Lonchura striata: one gene and its partner. The protein of the gene in region 1 interacts with the protein of each later gene in a pairwise test. Links are inferred from orthologs where the notes say so. Each region holds a gene or a part of one and is shown on either strand. Other genes may lie near its edges.

The links. The genes of interacting proteins can lie anywhere in the genome.
Region 2: the proteins of FHL3 (region 1) and SLC25A46 interact in binary tests that used the Homo sapiens proteins (3 or more experiments, as listed by UniProt). The two-hybrid records come from large-scale screens. The link is inferred for Lonchura striata from reciprocal best matches to the Homo sapiens genes FHL3 and SLC25A46.

What each region holds. Positions count from the first base shown.
Region 1 is NC_134628.1:4,830,460-4,840,981, forward strand, and holds the start of FHL3 (four and a half LIM domains protein 3), read right to left. Parts: upstream 5,016-10,522; 5' UTR 4,892-5,015; coding exon 4,885-4,891; intron 1-4,884. UniProt on the Homo sapiens protein: Recruited by SOX15 to FOXK1 promoters where it acts as a transcriptional coactivator of FOXK1.
Region 2 is NC_134642.1:79,750,652-79,761,317, reverse strand, and holds the start of SLC25A46 (mitochondrial outer membrane protein SLC25A46), read right to left. Parts: upstream 4,261-10,666; 5' UTR 4,199-4,260; coding exon 3,946-4,198; intron 2,154-3,945; coding exon 2,111-2,153; intron 901-2,110; coding exon 843-900; intron 363-842; coding exon 285-362; intron 1-284. UniProt on the Homo sapiens protein: Transmembrane protein of the mitochondrial outer membrane that controls mitochondrial organization.

The DNA.
Region 1 (10,522 bases):
TGTTTCTGCCTGCTGCCGACCCTAAAAGGCAAACCAGCTGCTTGCTCTGAGGAGCAGCTCCAGCCCCTCCGTTATGCTGGGAGTGCTTTCATTCCTGACACGGCTTCTGGGGATCTGCACAGGGTCACTGAGCACCCTGGCCCCAGGCTGGCACAGGTTCCTGGGGGTAGGGGCCAGCTCCCTGGGGTGCTGTGGGGGTTTCTCCACACTTACTCATGCTGCTGCCTCCCTGTGCCCTGTCTCTCTGCTCCCAAACCCACCAGCGCTGCTGCAGAGCTGCTGCATCCCTGGGGCTGTCAGAGGAGAGCTTGAGGCAGCTGGGGAGAGGTCCCAGCGCTCCCTCAGGGTGACCCAGCCTGCATGGGGCACCCTTGGGAGCAGATGCACCCTGGTGCATCCCTGGGGCTGTCAAAGGAGAGCTTGAGGCAGCTGGGGAGAGGTCCCAGGGCTCCCCTGGGAGCAGAGTTGCATCAGACCTTCACTGGCCTGCTCGAAGCTCCAGTGAGTCACTTCCTGCCCTCAGCTCTCCTCCAAGCTGCTCTCCAGCCTCATCCTTCCCTGGGACAGCTCTGAAATCTTAAGTAGGAAGGAGGGCTCCAGCATGGCAAGGAGTAGATTCTTTGCAGAGACCATCAGGACAGCCACAGGCCTCACACGGCAGCTTCCCCATCACCAGCAGAACCAGAGGATGCTGCAGGTCATTTCTCCAACACACAGGGAAAGTTCGGTTCTTACAGCCAGCCTCAGAGGCAGGAGATAAGCAGATCAGCTGGGTGTATGGCCACAGCCTCCCTGCACCACTGGGGTGTTGTGCTCACACATGTGCATACGCTGAGCTCTGCTGAGCAAGCTGCACCTCAGCCTTTCCCCCCAGCACGGGCAGGACGCCCTCCTGCCCAGAGCTGTCCCGGGTTGCTCCAGGCTGTGCAAGAGATTGAGTAAAACGGCTGGCAGCACTGTAAAGAAACACCTTGCATTTCAGATAAAACAACTTGCTGTCAGCAAGGTAAGCAGCTTCCTGCAAATGCTTTGTGAGGAAGAAGCAGCAGAATCCGTTAAACTGAAGCAGCAGAATCTGACAAGCACAAGACCTAAACTGTTGCATGACTTTAATACAGTCTTAGAATGACAAAATAAGGGTTTCCCATTGTTCAGAAGGGATCTTTAAGTTGCCCCATCCAAAGAACAAAGCCATATCACAGACTCCTCCTGGCAGCTCTGCATATAGATAAAGGACAGTGCCAAAACCACACCTATCCTATAAATGTCTGATTGTACTCTTAAACAGAATACAATCAGTAAGAAAATCACACCTGCCTCCAGTCCCCAGCCTGCCCAGAGGTGCCTGAAGGAAACTGTGACAGAGACATCACACCTGGTCCAAGGTGAGCAAGGGCAAGCTGCCACCACTGCTGTGCTGGGCTTGTGAGGTACCAGCAGCACAGGCACAAGAGACAATTCAGTCCTTGCTCTGGACTTATTTTCTTTAAGGAAAGCTAATTCTGCCAGGGTCTGAGAAAGGAGCTGAAGAGTCCCTACTATGGAACCATAAAAATAAGAACTCTGCCAAGGAAAAAAAAGAGGGCAAGATTTCAGAGTTAAATATTTATTACTAAACATCTGTAGGGGTTAACTAACTATTTTAGGTTCTGAACAAAATCTTGGTCTTTTGGAGGTGTAGCTAACAGCAGTAAAACTATTTGGGAACACTCAGAGCAGGCAGTCTATGTCATTCTGCTGACATTAAATTGGAATGTTTGCTCAAGAGATCAACTGTTAATCTTATTCAGAATGAGCACAAAGCAAGCAAATTCTGTGCACTCAACAGGAAGTCAGGAATTGAAGTCATTTGGGCTCTTTGGAGAACCCATCACATTCAAACAGACCAACAGATGGAAGAAGTCTTGAGAGCAGAGGAGCAAGATAGGAACACACCAGAAACTTCTGGCTAGCTCAACACAGACCATTCTGTCAGGCAGTTAAGAAACCCATGGCTTAAAACCATGCCAGGAGAGATTGTGGCTTGTCTCTGAGGAGGCTGCAGAGAAAAGAGAGGCTCCTCGTGACAGGTACCTTTCCTGCCACGTGCAGTGACAAGCAGGGGACACTGCAGCCGGGCACAGCTGCCACTGGGCAGGGGTTGGCTGAGGGCAGCAGCTGCACACATGGTCACAGTGGCCATAAGAGGAAGAAAGATGCTGAAGCCAAGTTTCAGGGAATGTGACTGATCACAGGAGCTTTGGTGTGATCGGAGGAGCCCAGGGAAAGGGCTGCTCCTGTCAGCTCTTAAAAAGGAGCAAGGGACAGGTGTGCAATTACTCTCAATAAGCATGTTGTGAGCATTCAATCTAGCATTGAAAGTTTAATTTTGGACTGAATTGGTTTATGCCCGTGTAACCCACAGCCATATCAATGCCTCACTGCTTATCCAACTTAACAATCCAAGGATTCCTGGCAATCGTGCTTTCAAGATCTCTTTGCCCCACATAATAAAGGTCATATGCAGTACAACAGAATTCAAACGTGAAAGCGTGACAGGAAATGACTAACTGCACACTGAGGCCAATGTACCTTCATCTTGGATCAGCTCAGCACACAAGAATCTTGCAACTCAAACAGACATCACAGCCTATATGCAGAAAAAATAATCTGACTGCTCTAGTTGCTACTTCTTGGGGCCTGTGCATCTCAATGTAGATATTACATGTATATAATGTAATTCCGCTCTATTTCCCTGAAGTTCTCACAACTGAATCCTTACACTGTAGTTTGCACTTTTCATTCCCTTAGAGACAGCTCCTTTTAAATTGAGGATGAAGCCATTATTATTTCTGAGTTGATACATAATTTAAGTTAGTATTTACAAAGCTTTTTGCAGTCCATAATAAAAGATCCTTACGAGATCATGTCTCTGTTTTGCCCAAAAAGGCAATCAAGGGACTGCCTCAAGCACTGGACACAGCCCTAGTGATTGTGTGTTTTGCTCACGTGCTGAAAACCAACCTGTACAATTTGAGCCCAGTCCCCTATTCTCTGTTTCCCCAACAAGCCTGAAAGCTCTTTTGCTGATTAAGGCTCTGCTCAGCTTCATGTTTCTTTTCAATAAACAAAACAACTTTGACTTCCAGTAGCAGAAAAAGGCACATATCCCAGACATGTTTTATTTAATGCACGCCTATTACTTAAAGGGCAAAGTGAATTTTTTCACCAAATTTGGTCAAAATACTCCCTCTTCCGATTTGATTCTTTGCCTCTCAAACACAAGTATTTGCAGTTGGTTTCTTGCATATAAACAGATCTATTGATGGAGAGAGGTAACGTGCATCTGAGTTTTGTGCCTTTTGGGGCTCTCCAAAATCCGCAGAGGGAAGAGAAAGCCAGGAAGGTGACAGGAGACACTTTTGCACTCCCTCTCTGCCACAGATCCCCGAGGCCTCCCCACCTGTGCTGGCTCTTAGCCCAAGAACACGGACAGACTCCCTGTAAAGTGCTTTTTACAGCTGCTGGTGTCCCTTGCAAGCAAAGGCAATGCCAGGCCTGCAGCACGAAGCATGCAAGCAGCTTCTAAATCTGGGGGAGGACTGAGTCCTGGCAAAAGACAAATTGTCTCATGTTACCACCCTGGGAACAGCTTGATGGTTCTCCCAAACAAAAACTGGGATCATTTGTTGCCCGGGAGATGCTGTGTGTGCCAGCTGCAGCCCTCCCCAAACAGGGCAGCGCTCTCAAGGGCAGCACAGCCGAGCAAAGGGGACACATGGGATGGCTGAGAGGGGAAGAGAACACCTCCTAGGCAGTGTAGAAGTGAAATGAATATAACATGGGCCAGTTCAATAAGGCCTAACTAGTTTTAGCTCCTTCAGCTCCCTTCTGTGACTGAAGGCTTCTCTGCCAGGTAATCTGGCCAGAACGTGTCATTTACTTTCACGAGCTGGTTCTCTTCAAACCATTCTCACTGACACCTTTAAAATTATTCTTCAGTACTGCAAAATTTAAATAATAGAAGCCATCAGTTGCAATTGTTACGTATTTTGCATAACATCTCTACAAAATAACTCCTTGCAAGCGCTAAAAGGAAATTTGCAAGATGCAACATGCGCTCCTGTTTCTGCTGTGCAGAGATAATCTTTGGTGGCACCCATAAAAGGGAAAACTGTGCCACGTCCAAAAGATTATATGGAAACAGGTATTGTAAGGAACACAAGTGCCCACAAAGTGTATGAATGCCTTTATATCATGCAGCTACACATGGAGTTTCCACTGGACATGTCAATCTCAGAATTGGAGCTGCTGCTGGCACGCAGCTCAGTAAAAATGTGGACTGCCTAAAATCTCAGAAAGAGAGGAAAAGCTGTTTATTTACAGAAAAAAAATCCAACATGAACAGATAAGAAGTAACAATATCAAGAGTCCTTGATCCAGGTCCGTGGCTCCTTTACAGAACATCATTCTTTGATTCCCATCTGAGATTTACAAGGGCACCTACATGAAGCACGTCTCTCAGAAGTTAAAAAGGATCAGAAAGAACAGAATTTTCACTAACAGGCTCCTCTCTTGGCAACTTTCAGCTGAAGAACAAGAAGAGCTGCTGTCTCAGCCCTAGAAGCAGCAGATGTGAAGCAATGCCTGTTTCTTTGCTGCAGGGAAGGTGCTCCACACTCACTGATGATGATGGAAGCAGAAGCAACGTGCACTCTGACTATTGGGAAAAAGTTCCCAAAGCTGTTCACATGCCCAAGCAACCCAAGGATCAAGGGCTTCACTGCAATGCCAACAACCCTTCCCTCTGTTCTGGAGCTGATCAGAACAAGAGTGCTCCATTTACAAGCCATTTGTCCCAAACTGGCAAACCCTGGAAATAAAAGCTCAGCCCAATTCGCTTACCTTGCATTGCTGGAAGCAGTGGAGCAGCAGGGACCCAGCTGTGCCAAGGTGCTCCTCCAGCCCCTCACCTCAGTCAGCTACAGCAGGTGCCACCAGCCAGACACTCTCACCAGTAAATCATCACTTCACCAGCAAACACTCAAGTGCTTGTCCAGCAACAAAAGCACTCACATCATAAACCAAGGGTGACATCAGCACAGGGATTGTGTTTCCTACAGGGGTTTAAATGTCATTACTTGTGACTAGAAATTGGACACTTGCATTAAAAGTTACTCTAAATTTTCACAAGAGACGTGATTCCAGTTTTGTGTAGACATATTTTACTTCTAATGCCTTTATATTGCTGAACATCATGATGACAGGAAAAAAAAAAACAAAAACAAAAGAGAAGAGAAGAGAAGAAGCAAAACTCCTAACATAAAGTGAAAAACTCATCATCATTATCAGCCTGACTTACCAAGTCAGGTGCTAACAAGGTGAGCAGCAGAGAGCAGCAGAACCTGGATTGTCACTTGAAAGGGTCAGTGTGGCTCACACAGCCTGATCTAATAATTATTCAAGGTTTCTACATTGCCCTCTTCCATTCTTATTCAAAGTTCTGCTCTACATATTCCAAAATTAAAACTCAAAGCTATCAAGGACCTGAAAGCATTATTTAATCATGCTGTAGTTATTACTGTTTCACACAGCAGGAAGCACAACACAGTCCGTGCACCTTCACCAACCTGACGTGCAGTTATGATTTCCCACACTCAGCTCTGGGCTCTCCAAAAGCAACACATCCAACACTTCTACACATGCACACCGGGCCAGATTTAATCTTTCTGTGAGTTATATGGTGTTTGCTTAGGGTTGAGAAATAGCAGAAATAAAACTTTTCTTGGCTGAGATAGATGCAAAACACGCTGTGCACTTTTTGCTTTTAATGACTCTTGGTGAGTACCACTACCAGTCTATGTATTCCAGAATGTTCTGAGTTAGGCACTCAGCAGTTTTCTTAATGTCAACTGTTCACTGAGTTAAAGGGAGCCACTGAAATGCCTTTAGATTTAGATGATGCCCTTTCTTTTTGAAAATGTCCATGTGCCAAGAGGCAGATGAGCATAAATAATCCAAATTTAAGGAAACAAACTAAAGATTTACCTGTGAAGCAGTTTAGCTCCCCGATTCTCTACTGCCAGTAACACAAATGTGATGATCCAGTGCAAGATCATTAATGCAAAAAAGTCCTCAGTTTCCAGAGCTGACACCCCACACCTCTCACTGGATTGTGGCTTCCTCAATTCCCTAACAGCTGTCAGCAGCAAAAACATTATTTACCCTTGTATTACCCACAGGTCAGGGAGTAATGCTATCTCCCTCCTGGGATTTGCACCTCAGAGAGTTCTGGCACTAGGCATGGCCTGTAGAACTAAAAATGGAACCAAGACCCAAGTCCCATCTTTCTTCTCCTCCTGAGATGCAGCACATATCCCTGTCAGTGGAAACTGTGACACCCACCAACGTGGGGTACAGACCTGCATCTACAGATTGCACAACCCTGACCCTGGGAGAAGCAAGAGAAAAGGGAGGAGGAGAAGGAAGAGAGGGACATGGTCTTTAAGGTGCCTTCCAACCCTGTAGCAGACAGACAAAGTGCTGTGCTGTTCCAGAGTCCAGATCTCCCAACCAACACCATGCCTCTGCTAGTTGCCCTTGCTATTCAAACTTGGGGTTCAGCAGGGAGCAGCTGAGCTGGCAGGCAGAACTGGGATAGGGCAGCAGCAGGAAGTTATGCACCAGTTCCAAATGGGTTCGTTTTTAAGAAAGGAAAAAGCCAGTTTTCCTTAAATGAGGGTGCTGGAATTCCAAGGTGAGGTCAAAAGCCTGGCAGAAATCAGGAGTTTAGGCTGGTACTGGGGCTCATGATGGTGACAAATGCAGTCCTTGCACTCAGGGGCAGCTTAGGACCCATTGATTTTTTGTTGTCTTCCCATCCTGAGCAATATCCAGGAACAGTGCCATCAGGTGTGGACCTCAGAGAGGAATTTCTGTCTTCAACTGTGCTGAAGGTTAGGCCTTTCAGATACATATTTTATATTATTCCCTTTATTTTGTTTCATTAGAAGAACTACAAAAAGACATTTTTCACAAGAAGCCTGAGTGTACATGCAGGTTGTGTGTGATCTGCAACCACACAGTCCTGAACCATGACAGAAATTACCTGTGATACACTCACATGGAGGAAATCTTGTGTGCTTGGATCATTCAAGAAATAAGGCTGCTTTACAGATACAGGAACAACACATGGCCAGAATGTGTTCTAAATCGGTAAGATACAGGCCAAAAAATCAACTGCTAATTGTTTTTACAATTTGTATTTTATATTAAAAAACCCCCTCAAGACCTTAAGAGGCAGAGCTGAGCCTAGAAAGGATTTTTATGGTTAAACCTGAAAGCAGGGATCTAGGACAGAACTAGTCCACTACATTTCAAACTTTGAGCCTGGGTTCTGCCTCAAGCAGCTGGGATTATTTTTCCAGTTAAGCAAATTCCTGCTTCTAAAACCCACTCTGATATTTAAATAAATTTGGAGAAGATGCTGAGTAGTCACTCTGCTTCACAGATAACAAATCAGAACTGCATTGTTTGATGGATTTCTAAGAGAACACTTGAAATTTGGGCAAACAAATTTAAAATATCAAGGTCATATTTACATTCCAGGGTAATAATTAAATACTTAATATCTTGTGGTTCCACTATTTTAGGTTTTTCTACACACCAAAATATTTAGTCATGTGAAAACCATCTGTAGCAGCTGGAAGACATTCATTTGGCATGCCAAGATTAATTAGTTTAAAAATACATAAATAAAGCATTCATTTTATTTCCAAAAAGCTGTTGTTCTTGGTTCTCTTAGGGTGTTGGTGATTAATGCTTATGGAAGGTTCTCAAAAAGAGGTATCAGATGCCAGTTTCACAAATATCTGTTAAGTAAAACAAGGCCTGTGTTTAGGTTAATGCTCTTCTGGACTAAGCCCAGTCATTATTCACAGCAATACAAAAACTAGCTTGCAAACACTTCAATCCCTATTTTTATTCTTTCCCCTATGCTCTCAAATCCACAATGCTAAAATGTGCTTTTAAAAATTGATGAAAAGAAATTTCTCTTCAGGACTGGGGTTCAGATACCCGTGTTTAAGAATTACAAACCTAAGTGCCCAAGTATGTCTTTTTTCTTGAAGAAGTTCCTGCATAATCTCCATAGAGCTTTTCAAAGTCAAGTAAACAAGACACACAGCTGAAACTGTAAAAAGGGTTGAATTTGGCTTAGTATCCATAGGGATCACTTATCTGGCCAACAGCTTGCAAAGGGTTATTTCTTGGCTCATCATTTTTGTTTTGCTGGAAGATGTTGAGGTTTTAGTGAAGTTTCTGCAGAGCGTGCAGCAGCATTCAACATTTTTTGCTCAGCTAATGAGTTAAGTCATCACAGCTCTCCAATGGCTTGAAGATTATGGGTGTAGGAAAAGGGAATGCTCAGAAAGGGGAACTTTTGAGCAGTCACCACTAAACTGCGGTTAAAACAGACACCAATGACTCTATTCAGCTCCCAAACCTCAGACAGTTTCCATTTTCTCAATAACAAAGCATTTTTGTGGAATGAGGTAATGGCCTCCATCTGCCAGGTCGACATCTCCACTAAGATTTCTCAAGAGTGTGGCTGACCAGGGCTGGCCAGCAGAGCCAGAGGCAGGAGAGTCCCTTCAGCCTGGGCAACACAGGGCAAAACTGCCATGGGACAGACGTGGAGAGGAGCCTCTGTGGCACCATCTCACAAACTCTCCTGGGAGTTTGATTCACAAGCAGCCTGGAGCAAGCTCCACACACTGCCCAGCTGAAGAGTCAAAAGGTCAGGAAAAGGGTTGAGATTTGTCATTATGAATGGCCAGGGACAGGCAGGAGGGAGCAGAATGGGTGCCATAAGTCCAACAGCCCATCGTGGGTGGCTCATGAGCAGAGAGTGTGTGATTTAAAGCAAAATCAGGCACACACTGCCAGATGCACAGTGCAAAGGGCAGGGCAGACATCCTGCTCCCTGAGGACAGCACTGCCTGTGGGACTGGCCACTCAAGCTGCCATACACCCCCCACCTGAAATACAAAATATCTGAGGCAGAGCATTTACAGCCTCTGAACACAGCCTGGGAGAGGGTCTGGGTTTGTTCTTTCCTTATTTCTTGAATTTAGCAGCTTATGTCTTGCCCTCTCAGTTCCAGGGATGCTGAGCACTCAATCATTCTTTTGATTTCTGGCAAAGCCAGCTCAGTTCTTCTGAAAAGCAGTCCTTCATTTAGCTCCAGATGAAGATTCCAGCTCCTGTCAGGACCCCCTCATCTGACTCTTGTCTCCCTGTGGATGGCCAGTCACTAAGCTCCCTTGCAATTTTGAGACTCTCAGCTCCAGGTTCAATTCCCCCCATCTGGTTCTCCCATTTAAAGCAAGGCAATTTTCCAGTTGTTTTCTGATGGCCTTTGCATTCCTGTAACACTTCCTCTTGAAGTTTAGAAAACATTAACACCAGCCTCCTCACTTTCTAGTGTAATTCCAACTGTGTGTCCATGTGGATACCTGGTGAGTGGTACCTTCCTTCTTGGCCAGGACAAAGCATTTCCCAAGCCCGTTTTCTTCCCATGAGGAGTGCTGCTGTCAAATGTCAAAAACCCACACTGCTAATACTAGCCTTCTACAAGGTCAGCCAGAAAGGACTTCCATCAAGGATGAGCTTTGCTGGAGAAGGCTCCCTGGGGATTATCAGAATAGTACAGTCAAGCCCAGATGGCCACAACGTGCTGAGCACATTTCCCGCAAACACAGCGGCGAGGCAGAGGCCTCTACAAATCAAAGTCCACCCTGATTTCTGCCATCTGCTGAACACCGAGGGCCAGGCTGAGGCCTTTGGGAAAGGTCAGGATAGTCTTACAGGCTCTCAAGATATTGCTTTTGTTCTCACTATTTGCTTCTCAATTCCTTCGTTAGAAGATACTAATCTCTCTGTAAGGCAGTTACTTGGAGCCAAGACTTTAGATATTATTGCAAAACATATGCTTAAAAGAGACTGGAAATTATGCTGGCAGTGTTACAGAGGGGAGCAAAGCACAGCTTTGGGTCAAAACAAACAAAAAAAAATGTAAGCTAGTAAGCAATTCCCATGCAATAGTTTAGGAGAGCCAGCAAAAGCTTCTTCTAGAAAGAAAACAATGCTGTGAGAACGAAGCTAACGAGAGCTGGCTCTTGGAAAAATAAAACAGCTAGTAATGAGCCAAAAGCACATATCCAAGAGAATCTTTCTGGGAAACCGACCCAAGTCTTTACGCTGGAAAGCCCTGAGGGACTAAGGACCTTGAGGCTAAAAGCTGGCAAATTGCTTCATCAGTTAAGGTCGGTCTCAATGTTTCCTACTGTGTAAAAATAATTTGTTTTAGCCTACAGGTCTCTACAGAGCACTGGGTAAATTCAGACTGCTTCCTTTGGGAAGGGAAACGGAGCCCCTGGCAGAGCCCTGCCCAGTGGGATATTTTCAGGGGTTTCCCACCACCACTGCCAGCCCTCCAGCCCCAGGCTGGCCCAGCACACTCAGCCCTTGGCTCTGCTGAATT
Region 2 (10,666 bases), on another chromosome or scaffold:
CCACATAATGATTTAATGATCTTTTAGAAACCTAATGAAAAAAAAAAATCCAAGGACTTTTTGCTTTCTAACATCCACAAATCTTTCCCCACTAAGTACTGCACTTCTGAAAAAAAAAAAATTATTTACTTGATCTTCTTGACACATTTCTGTAGCCATAAAAACAAACCCTCATAACAGCCGTGCTTTCCAACACCACCTACATAAACAATCAGAGATTTCAATGTACATACATGCTGTAGGAACCCTCAGTGCCTAGATACAGCCTGGCACCAAACACTAACCTGTGTCTTATTGATGCAGTACATGATATTGACAACAGTAAATGGTGTGAGATGATAATTCCGTGCATGATAGTTAACCTGTTAAAAAAATAAATAGTATTAGAAATACACTTGTAGATGCTACAACTCTGAAGTATAAAGGCATTTCAAAGAATTGATATCTGTAAAGATCAGCTACAAATATGAGTAAGTTCTCACTGAAATCTAGGAAAAAGGGCAGCCCTTTAAATTATTCATATGCTGAAAGTTTAAAGAAACCATACATAAATCAGAACCTATGAAACAAATCACCCTGCTTGCAAACAGGGATGTGAAAGTTGCTCTGCAGATCCCAAAACACTTGCTGTAATTTGCTTTCCACTGCCCAAACAAAAATGAGCAAGACTTTTCCAAATAAAATAAACTGCAGAACAGAAAACAAGTATTCTACAAGTAAAAATTTGTTAATGTACCAGAGACCTCCTAAAAATTGCAAAGTTTCCCATAATATGTACTTTCATACAGAGGTATGGCAGTACACAGGAGCTTTGACTGGAATAGGTAATATAAAAGACATACCTGACATTGACGACGTAGAACAATGCAAGGATGTGCCAACACATTTTCTGTAAATAGGCTTTAAAGGAAAATTGTATTTAATGCACAAAAATTCCTTAGAAAAGACTTGTTAATTGTCTCTAACAGCAGCAGATCAGTATTTGGAGAAGCAACACATTTTCTAGTGAACTAATAGGCCATGTTTTTGATGGTTACCCAACAGCCTCCCAAGGAACAAGTTACATAAAATCTGACATATACATTTACTGTGAAAAAGCCCCATATATATGTAATATGCACTTATTTTTATAAGCAAAAAATATACTAAATTTCTTAATTTCGCCCTCCTCAGAGTATCACGGTGCAAAACAAACCACAGCTACAATTATGAGAGGTTTAGTTCCCAGTTTTATGTTAATTCTGCATCCTGTATTATTAATCAAGACTCCTCTTAGGAGGGCAGAGGAGTGGTACTAGTAGCTGACCACCTTTTCACCGAAAACACTACTGACCCAAACCAATTCTCCAGCCATTGGCAGAAGTCATATTTGAATCAAAACTTCACAGGAAAGTTCACACTTCCAAAGCAGAATTCCTGGTTGCAGACATTCAGATAGACTATTAATTTCAGCTCAAAATGCCTGAGTGATCAGAGTACTTACCTGTATATTGTTCAAACCTGGGACATGGATTAGAAAAGAACATCCAGGATTTTTACAAACACCCCAAGCTACAGAATCATCTGTGGTAGGTTTCTGAACTCCCAATAAACAAGTGGCACAGAAAAATACTGCAGTTTTGTAACTATTGATCTAATAGTTCCTCTGTACCAAGAGGAAAAACTTTCCTTGGGCATCAGCATCTTATAATCCATCACTTTTTCAAAAATACTATCAATAATCAGGGTCATCATCATAAAGAATGAACTGGCCTTCAGGCCACTTGATTAGATGAACATTATGGTCTGAGGATACTTTGGTAATATACTTGAAGACATTTTCACTTTCTTAGGAAACATTTGTATCACCCAGAAATATTAACAAAAGTTGCACATGTCAAAGAAGTTTTCTGGTGTTAATTTTAGATTACTCGGACAGGGCATTCTGTTTCTTCCATTCATATATTTTTGGCAACAGTTAAAGAAAACAGAAACCTAAATGGGGGGTATTAGGTTTCAAAATACATTTCAACTGCTTATGGCTATTGGAATAAAAACACAACACAGAAGTGTATGTAGGGTTTATAAGTATGAGTTTTACAACCCCTTTGTCACTGAACACATCTCTTACCTTGCAAGGCCAATACCAAAGCCAGCAAATCTGTTCAACTGTTCTGAAAAACAAGAAAAAAATCCGAAACAAAACCAGATGATACGGCAGCGATAATCACAAAACAGAGAAAATGTCATGCACGGGATCTGAAAAACTAGTTTTATCCTGTACTTGCATCAAAAAATTACAAGCACTAAATTACAATATTTATGGCAGTTGAGCAACAGAAGATATAAAAAAATATTCCCCTAGGAACATGTGCACTTTGGACTGCATTTGAGTTTGTACATGCTCTTATATATAAAATTATGCTTTTCTTACAGCAAAAAAAGAAGAGAGAAAACGAACAGTAAAACAGAGAGTATTTACCAATTCAAACCAATTACTGAAAGATTTAGTACGCATGAGTTTGCAGTAATTCTGAAACATAAATCTAGGTAATTGAGGTGAAAATACTGTTAAAACAGTATAAAAGGCAAAATCTTGTGCGAAGTTACACAAAAAGCCACAGATGAAGTAACAAACATCAACACAAAGCAAATTTTCAAGCCAGTTGTTTACCTCCAGTCCTTTGCAAAAATCTGAATTCTCCAAATTGGAGAATTACAGAAGTAATTAATTCAACTCTCTGTTGCCTGCAAGCAGACATTTGCACATTGGGAATTATCAGAAGGGATTTTAAGATGAGCATCAGAACAGTAAAGGCATTTTAAAGTCAATGCTTAGCCTACAAGCTTCATTGTGCATGCAGTCTGAAGGCATGGATGAAGTCAGTAACTTCAGTGGTGCTCCACACAAATGTGGCAGCCCTCCTAAAAATGGTAAGATACCACATGCAGCTGCTGGATTCAGTGATTACAGCAACTCCTTATCAGTGCTCCAAAGTGCAGAATGAACACACCTTCCACATGCAGACGGCGGAAAAAATGCAGTGTCCAGCTATGCAAGGATACTTAATAGTGCTTCAACCAGTGCATGCATGGACGGAGTCCAGCTAAAGGCAGTACTCTTTGTAAGACCTAAATAAAGATACTGCACTACAGCTCAGAAAAGAAAGACTTGCCTACTAATATAATTCGATTTCAGGTAAATTACTATTTCAGAGATTTTTTGATACTCAAGTGTCTACAACCTGCTCCTTTTATTTAAAGAAAACAACATACAGTACCCTAGAGAGAGCAAGTTTTCCTTAATTCACCTCAACTTTGTTAAGATCTAAAATGACTTTATGTATGAAGGCTTACACTCAATTTTCCAGCAATTACCGAAAAAGCCTTGTACTCAGTTGCTTCCTTAAATCCTACAAATCCCACAGTTCCCTCGCTATCACGCGTGGAGGGGGAAAGTTTACGTCAGCAGCTCATGTTTTAAACCCGACAGAAGCCACGCAGTCCGCAACACCACCACCACAATAACGCAGCACTCCAAGAGCCAAAAGCACTTCCTGCCCTTGAAGAAGGCGGGGTGTTTCTGCAGGAGATTATCTACACGGGCAATGAGGAGCGAGCTGACTGCACACTGCTTAACGGGAAGCTGCGGGGCGCGTTCTGGCACTCTCGGACCCCACTGGAGCGGAGCTGCACAGCGCTGGAGCGCAACAGGCAGCGGGTGTTCAGCAGAGCACTCCGCCTTCTTCTTCCCTGCGCCTCAGCACCGGCAGCCCGGGCGGCGCAGCTCAGGCCCGCCCGCCCTCGCCCGGCGCTCAGCGCCCGCGGCGGCAGCGGGGCTCCGCGGCGGCAGCGGGGCTCCGCGGCGGCAGCGGGGCTCCGCGGCGGCAGCGGGGCTCCGCGGCGGCAGCGGGGCTCCGCGGCACCGGCCGGCCCCGGGCTAGCCCGGGCCGGGCCCTCCCTTACCGGCACCGGGGCCGCCCGCCCCGAGGTTGGCCTCCTCGTTGGGGCCCGCGCCGCCCAGCGGGGTCCCAGCCCCGTACGGCGGCGTCTTCTCACCCCAGTGCAGGTTGCGGCTGCCGGGGATGTCGGGCGGGCTGGTCACCCAGGAGCCCGGCTCCGAGCCGCTGCCGAAGGGCCTGGAGCCGGGGCCCAGTTCGTCGCGGCCGACCCCACGGTAGCCGAGGCCGTCGAAGCCGTCGGGGCGGCGCGGGTGCATGGCGGGGGTGGCTGAGGGAGCCCGGCGGGGAGCGGGAGAGGAGCGGGAGGCGCCGCGCTCGGGCCGCTCCGCCGGCAGCGCGCCCGGCCCCGCCGCCCGTCGGCACTTCCGGCCGCGGTGAGGCCGCGCGCGTGACCGCGGCGGGCGGGGCCGGCGCCGCTGGCCAATGGCGGCGCTCCGCTTGCCCGGCCCGGGGCGGGGCGTGCGGCGCCCCCTGGCGGCGCGGCGGAGCGGCCCCGCCGCCCCGCGCCTGCGCAGTCCGCGCGCCGGCTCCGCGGCCGGCCGGGCCCCTCCGGGAGTCCGTGAGGAGGAGCCGGCGATGAGGAGTCTGTGCCGACCTCGGGCAGCGTGTTCTTCCGGGGAAAAACTCCTTCTTATCGGCCCTGGAGATGAGCGCAGCACTGCACACGGCAGGCGCAGGGAGGAGGCCAAAAAGTGGGGCATGGGTTGTGGAGAGGAACGCAGAGCACCCAAGATCCCCAAAGCCCTCTGCCTTATTTCCATAACCAGGCCCAAAGAACAGACTGCCCATGATAACTGATTGAGTAGAAAGTGAGAAACACTTCAGGACGGGGAAGTCAGGCCACAGAAAGTGTCCCCCAATCCCACAGGATATCCTGTTGGCTGGATGGATGCAGCTGGGTCGATTCTGACACCAGGACTGACATCCCTGCAGCTGGATCAGTCTGGAACCAGGACTGACATCCCTGCAGCTGGATCAGTCTGGAACCAGGACTGACATCCCTGCAGCTGGATCAGTGCTGGAACCAGGACTGACATCCCTGCAGCTGGATCAGTGCTGGAACCAGGACTGACATCCCTGCAGCTGGATGGATTCTGACACCAGGACTGACATCCCTGCAGCTGGATCAGTGCTGGAACCAGGACTGACATCCCTGCAGCTGGATGGATTCTGACACCAGGACTGACATCCCTGCAGCTGGATCAGTGCTGGAACCAGGACTGACATCCCTGCAGCTGGATGGATTCTGACACCAGGACTGACATCCCTGCAGCTGGATCAGTGTTGGAACCAGGAGCACTGAGCTCTTATTTTTCTTTCTCTCTTCTTCTCTTTAGCTCACCTCTTCTTCTCTGTCTTGCCTTTCACACTACTTCTTTATCTAAAACCTATTGCCTTGTACTTACATAGCCGGTCAAGGACGAAAATGCCAGCTTCCATGCTGAGTATGTAATTTACTAATAAAACTTTCTGATTATTTGCTGACCCTCTAACTTTTGTTGTTCCTTTCAACCATGAGCATTTATGAATCTTCCTTCCCCTTAGGAGTGGGAGGCCATACCCTGTGGGTTTAATGATCCTTTAGCTCAGAATCACAGAATCATTTAGGTTGAAAAGACCTCCGAGATCACCAAGTCCAAACTATGACACCATGTCAACCACCCCATGGCACGTCCAGTCTTTCCTTAAACACTTCCAGGGACAATGATTCCACAACCTCCCTTGGCAGCCCATTTCAATATCTGGTCACTCTTTCTGTGAAAAAAAATTCCTACTGGGCAGCCAAAACCTCTCCAGGCAATTAAACCATTTCCTCTCACTGTGTCCTTTGTTGCATGGGAGAGGAGCCTGACCTTGCTGCAATCTCCTTCCAGGCAGCTTGTCTTCTCTGAAGAAGCTCAACAAGGTCTCCCACAACTGCGTCTTAGTCTGACATGCAGTTGTTCTTATTTTGTGCACTAGGTTAAGTGAGCATTAGTGCATTCAATTCTAAGTATAGCATGAGTCATCCACAGCTTTGTGAGAGGAAATCTCATTAGTGCATATGAGTATCTCTAAGGCTGGTGCCAAAGGATGGTGCCAGACTCTTTGGTGCCCAGGGACAGGAAAAGGAGCAATAGCCATAAACTGAAACACAAGTTCAACACATAAAGTTACAGTTACTCTGTTTTGTTACACAGTTTTAGTCTTCCTAAAATTGTGGAAATCATAAAATCAGACTAGTCAGGATTGAAGGAAGTCTTTAAAAGTCATCTAGACCTACCACCCTGCAATAAGCAAGGACACCTTCAATTGCCAGCAAGTGTTTAGGGCCCTTTGCAAACTGAATGAATGTTCCCAGAGATGTGGGTACAGCCTCTCTGGACAACCTTTTCCAGTGTTTTACGAATTTTATGATACTCGCAGTCCTTCAGCTGTGTCAATGGCTCTACTCAGCTTCATATAGTCTCCAGATTTGCTGAGGGTGCACTCAATCCCACAATGTCCATGTTACTGTTGAAGATGCTGAACAGTGCTGATAGGAAATTGAATATTAGTATTAAATAGAATTTCAGGTGTGGGATCCATGCCTTCTACACAGTGTCCCCAGACCATTCCCTGGTGTTTGACTGTGCTCCCATAGCACAGAACCTATTCTCACATGATACAGTAGAAGTTTGGGTTTCCTTCTTTTCTTTGAAAGAAAACACCAAGAAAACAATTCAGAGATCCACTTTTGCAGTGAGAAGAAATTGGCAACAGCCTAAGTGCAGCAATTACAATAGGACACAAAGCTTCTGTGTTAATGATCCCTTAAATTTAATTCCCATATGACTTAATATAAAGCCACACATGCAGTTTCTGTGCTTGGTCTTGGAAGACCAAGCAGGTCTTCCTGCTTGGAAGACAAGCCTCCAGGAGAGAAACAGAATGAAGGTTGTTGATAAGAGAAACCAGTAAACCACAGTTCTTCAGAAGAAAAATAGGAGAAAGAGTGTTGTTCCAAAGAAACTACAATCTTCTTCCACACTGGAATATGACATGACTGTTGGAATAGCCAGATCTGCTGTGTTTTCTAAAACAATATTCATTGACTAATATTGGGTTGGACTCAATGATCTTTAAGGTCTCTTCCCACCTAGTTATTCTGTGAATTCTGTGAATGTGTGTGAGAGGGAGAATTGTTCAGTGTGAGAAAACTGTCTTAAAATTAAAATCTACATTTTTCTTGGGAAACAATGCTCATAGCCACTGCTTTGTTAACCTGTTAGCAAAGGAGTAGAGTGCAAAGCTGCTGACTCAGATTTGATTTACACCAGATCTTTGAGATCTGTGAGATCTGCACAGTGGGTAGCTGCCCTCTTGTTCATATAATGGAAGAGAGCAGCTGTGCTCCACAGCAGCCTGGAGCTTCCAGCAGCACAGCCTGAAAGACAATTCAATTGAGTCTACACATTGGACCTGTGTGACTGCAGGAGTGGTTTCTGTGGGGAGATATCAAGACCTGCCCCTCTGTCAAGCACAGCCAACTCCAGCCAGACCTGCCATGGCCAAAGCTGAGCCCATCCATGATTTTGGTAGCAGGAGAGGGTAAGAGAAATGTGTTTTTTTCCAGTATCCTACTCTATTTTAAACTGGCAATAAATTAATCTTCTCCAAGTGGGTGTCAGGTTTGAATGTTAATTTGACATTGGCTTAGATGGGACACACAGTAGTGCTTATGTCATTTTGGATCTTCACTCCATGCTCATGTTTTGCTTCCCATAGTAATTCAGGATGAGAACACAGATGCTTTACACCAGCAGGATGCTCGCCCACAGCCAAGGACAACAGCAAACTCGCCATATTTTTCCTGGGTCTCTTAGTCCTGGCATCCACAGCATCCTTTGTGACATCCCAGTGATGGATGTCCAAACAGCTCTTTCCCTTCAGCTGCTCATCTCTTGAGTGCTCTCAGAAGAAAATCTTTGGTTTGCCTCACAGTTTTATTAGGCACATAAATAGACCCTCAAGCAAAAGTCACCCCAAAAGGACCAGCAAAAAGGACCCTGGGTTTTAACACCTCCTGGCAGTCTGGACTTGAAAATTACATTTTCCTGCTGTACTTCTCTGCAACTCCCTCAATTACCCAAACAGGAAACTGGAAAGTGCCACAGGCTCTTGGGTCTCTCCCTCACACAGACAACTGGCACCCAGCATCTGTTCTTTGGCTGGCTTGTTCACAATGTGATCAAGAGTGATCTGGGCAAGGAGGAAGAGCAAATTGCCTTCATGGGAGAATTTTCAATTCTGAGCTGAAAGGAAACAGGCCTGGAAGTTAAATGGGCCTTTGTGTGGTTGTTTCTCCTCATAGCTGAATCTTAAGGTGGGTGGCTGGATCATCCTTTGCTGCTTGTGCAGTAACACCTCTACTTCAGTATTCTTTTGTGTACAATTAGATATACCTCCAAACCGTAGGAACAAGACCAAATTGCAAAGCCCATATATGATACCATGTACAATGTATTAATGCTCTTCTAATGGTTTTGATAGCAGAATACCAAATTCTGTTAAATGCTGTGTATATGATTAATAAATACAAAACCATGAATAAACAAAGTTCAGAATCTGTCCCTCAGCTGAGTTGAAGAAATATATATGGGAAATGGGAATCAAAACTAAAGAAATAAAAAGATTCTTCTTGTTGTAGGTTTTTACTGGAGTAAACCTACTTGATACAAAGCGGCGTTATCCTGGGGAATTTGTCATGAGAAAAGTCCATTAAAGAACTCAAAGAATTTCTCTGTGATCAAGATTTGGATGTAATTAATTTTAATTCATCTACACTAAAGAGATGTGCAATGGCATATGTGAACATGTGATGTGCATCCCCTGCACTCCTCCTGAGGCCTCATTGTGATCTGAGAAATCCTCATTAGCCTTGATCTTCACAAAGGGCACCTAGACTGAGCTCCTCCTGAGTTTATCAAAATCAGTCTGTTCCCAGGAACTAGTACTAGTCTCCTGATTTTTAATGAACTGCCTTGGAAACTTACTTTTCTTGCCTCGAAAACAACCCAAGCAGAATAACAATTTTGTTATCAAACTTTCAAAGAACATGCTAGCCCATATTGCAATCAGGATGAAAAATTATTATGATTGAAGCCCATTCTCTTGTGACTCTATAAACAATGGCCCAAAGTGAGACCCTTTGAGCTCTCCTGGACAGCAGACACTGTGACCAGCACCTCCCTCTGTGTGGGGCCTCTCAGAGCCAGAGAACTCTCAAGTTTGCTAAACTTGGAAGATCACTGAATGACAATGATGGAGCCTGGACTTACACCCCCACTTCTCCAGACTCAACGCTTTGCCCGTTGGGATGATCCAAAGGCATCAGATATGTGTCCTTCACCAAGTCTGAGGAAAATTTTTCAGAGGTACTCTGTGGGTGTCTTATACAGACCCTTTAGGTATGTGTGCATGAGGGTGTGAATATGCTATAGCATATGTACAAGGAATGCTGCTCTCCTAGATTCTTAAGTACTTCAGGTTTGTAAGTTAGGCCCATGAGTTATAGTAAATTCTATATGAATCTTTAGATAAATTGTTTAACCTAACCTGTCACTTAAGTGCCCTTAAGTGCTGTTAAAGCTATAGACCTAAACTCTCAAGTTTGGGGCTCAGTTTAGCAAAGGGGTCTACTCGGAAACTTGTGATGCAATGGGTGGGTCTTCCTTATTCCTGTTTGTCCTTACCCCTTCCCTATCCTTATCCCCAGCCTCCACAGAGTTAAGTTTTGAGTTGATTTTGGATTTCAATTGACTGGTTTTAGGTTTTAGTTTGCTCTTTTTCTATGTGCTTTTACCAGAGCATTAGTAGTAAGTAGTAGTAGAGGGAACCTTGTAAATGAACTACATCACACTTTCTGTTTTATATGAAACCTGCTTTTGCCTATGACTTTTCTGTGATTCTTTAAGTAACCTTAAAACACTCATTTGCCAGAGAACATTAAGAAAAATAAACACGTGCACATTTGAATCAATGCACTGGCACAGCATTAGGTTTCTTTTGCTGCCAGCACAGGCTTAAGCTGTGCATTGGCTGAGCAGCAGCACCATCTTGTGATACAGGTACGGAACTTTCTGTAGGGTCACACACCTGGATGTTCACCCTGTACTTAGCAAGTGGGAGACTCAGCTTCTGGCCTTTGCACTGGCCACTGATCCCAACCCAGTCGTTCTCTTGAGCTACTTCAGCCTCACCCTGTTTCATTGGCGCTTAATTGAAACATGGACAGCTAATTCAGTTATCAATCAGCTCCCAGAGCATCCAGGGGGCTGCTGCAACCAGGCTTAAGGTCTGGTCATTTTAGTTTGTTTTGGAAGCTCTACTTCTGTCATTATAGATGTCCTGCTGGTATATTAAGTCTTACCTGATGTACTAACTCTTATCACTGTCATAATCACACCAGGAGTGGAACTAATCTGTCTTCCTTGCTGAGGCTGAGGAGAAATGCAGAAGAAAAGCAAGCTGTGTGTGTCATCAATGAGACAATGCCATGGGGTTTTGAAGTTTTTGGACTTATGTCAGTTTAGATGCTGAGCTACAGGTAAAAAAACTGTCAGGCAGTCTGCTTAACAGACTCCCCATCTATTAAAAAAGAGAGTGCATGCACTCTCCTGTACATCAGTTAGTCTTGGAGTATGCCATCAACTCTTCATGAATAGTAAAAATGATAATAGAAAGTAATGCAAGAAAATCATGTG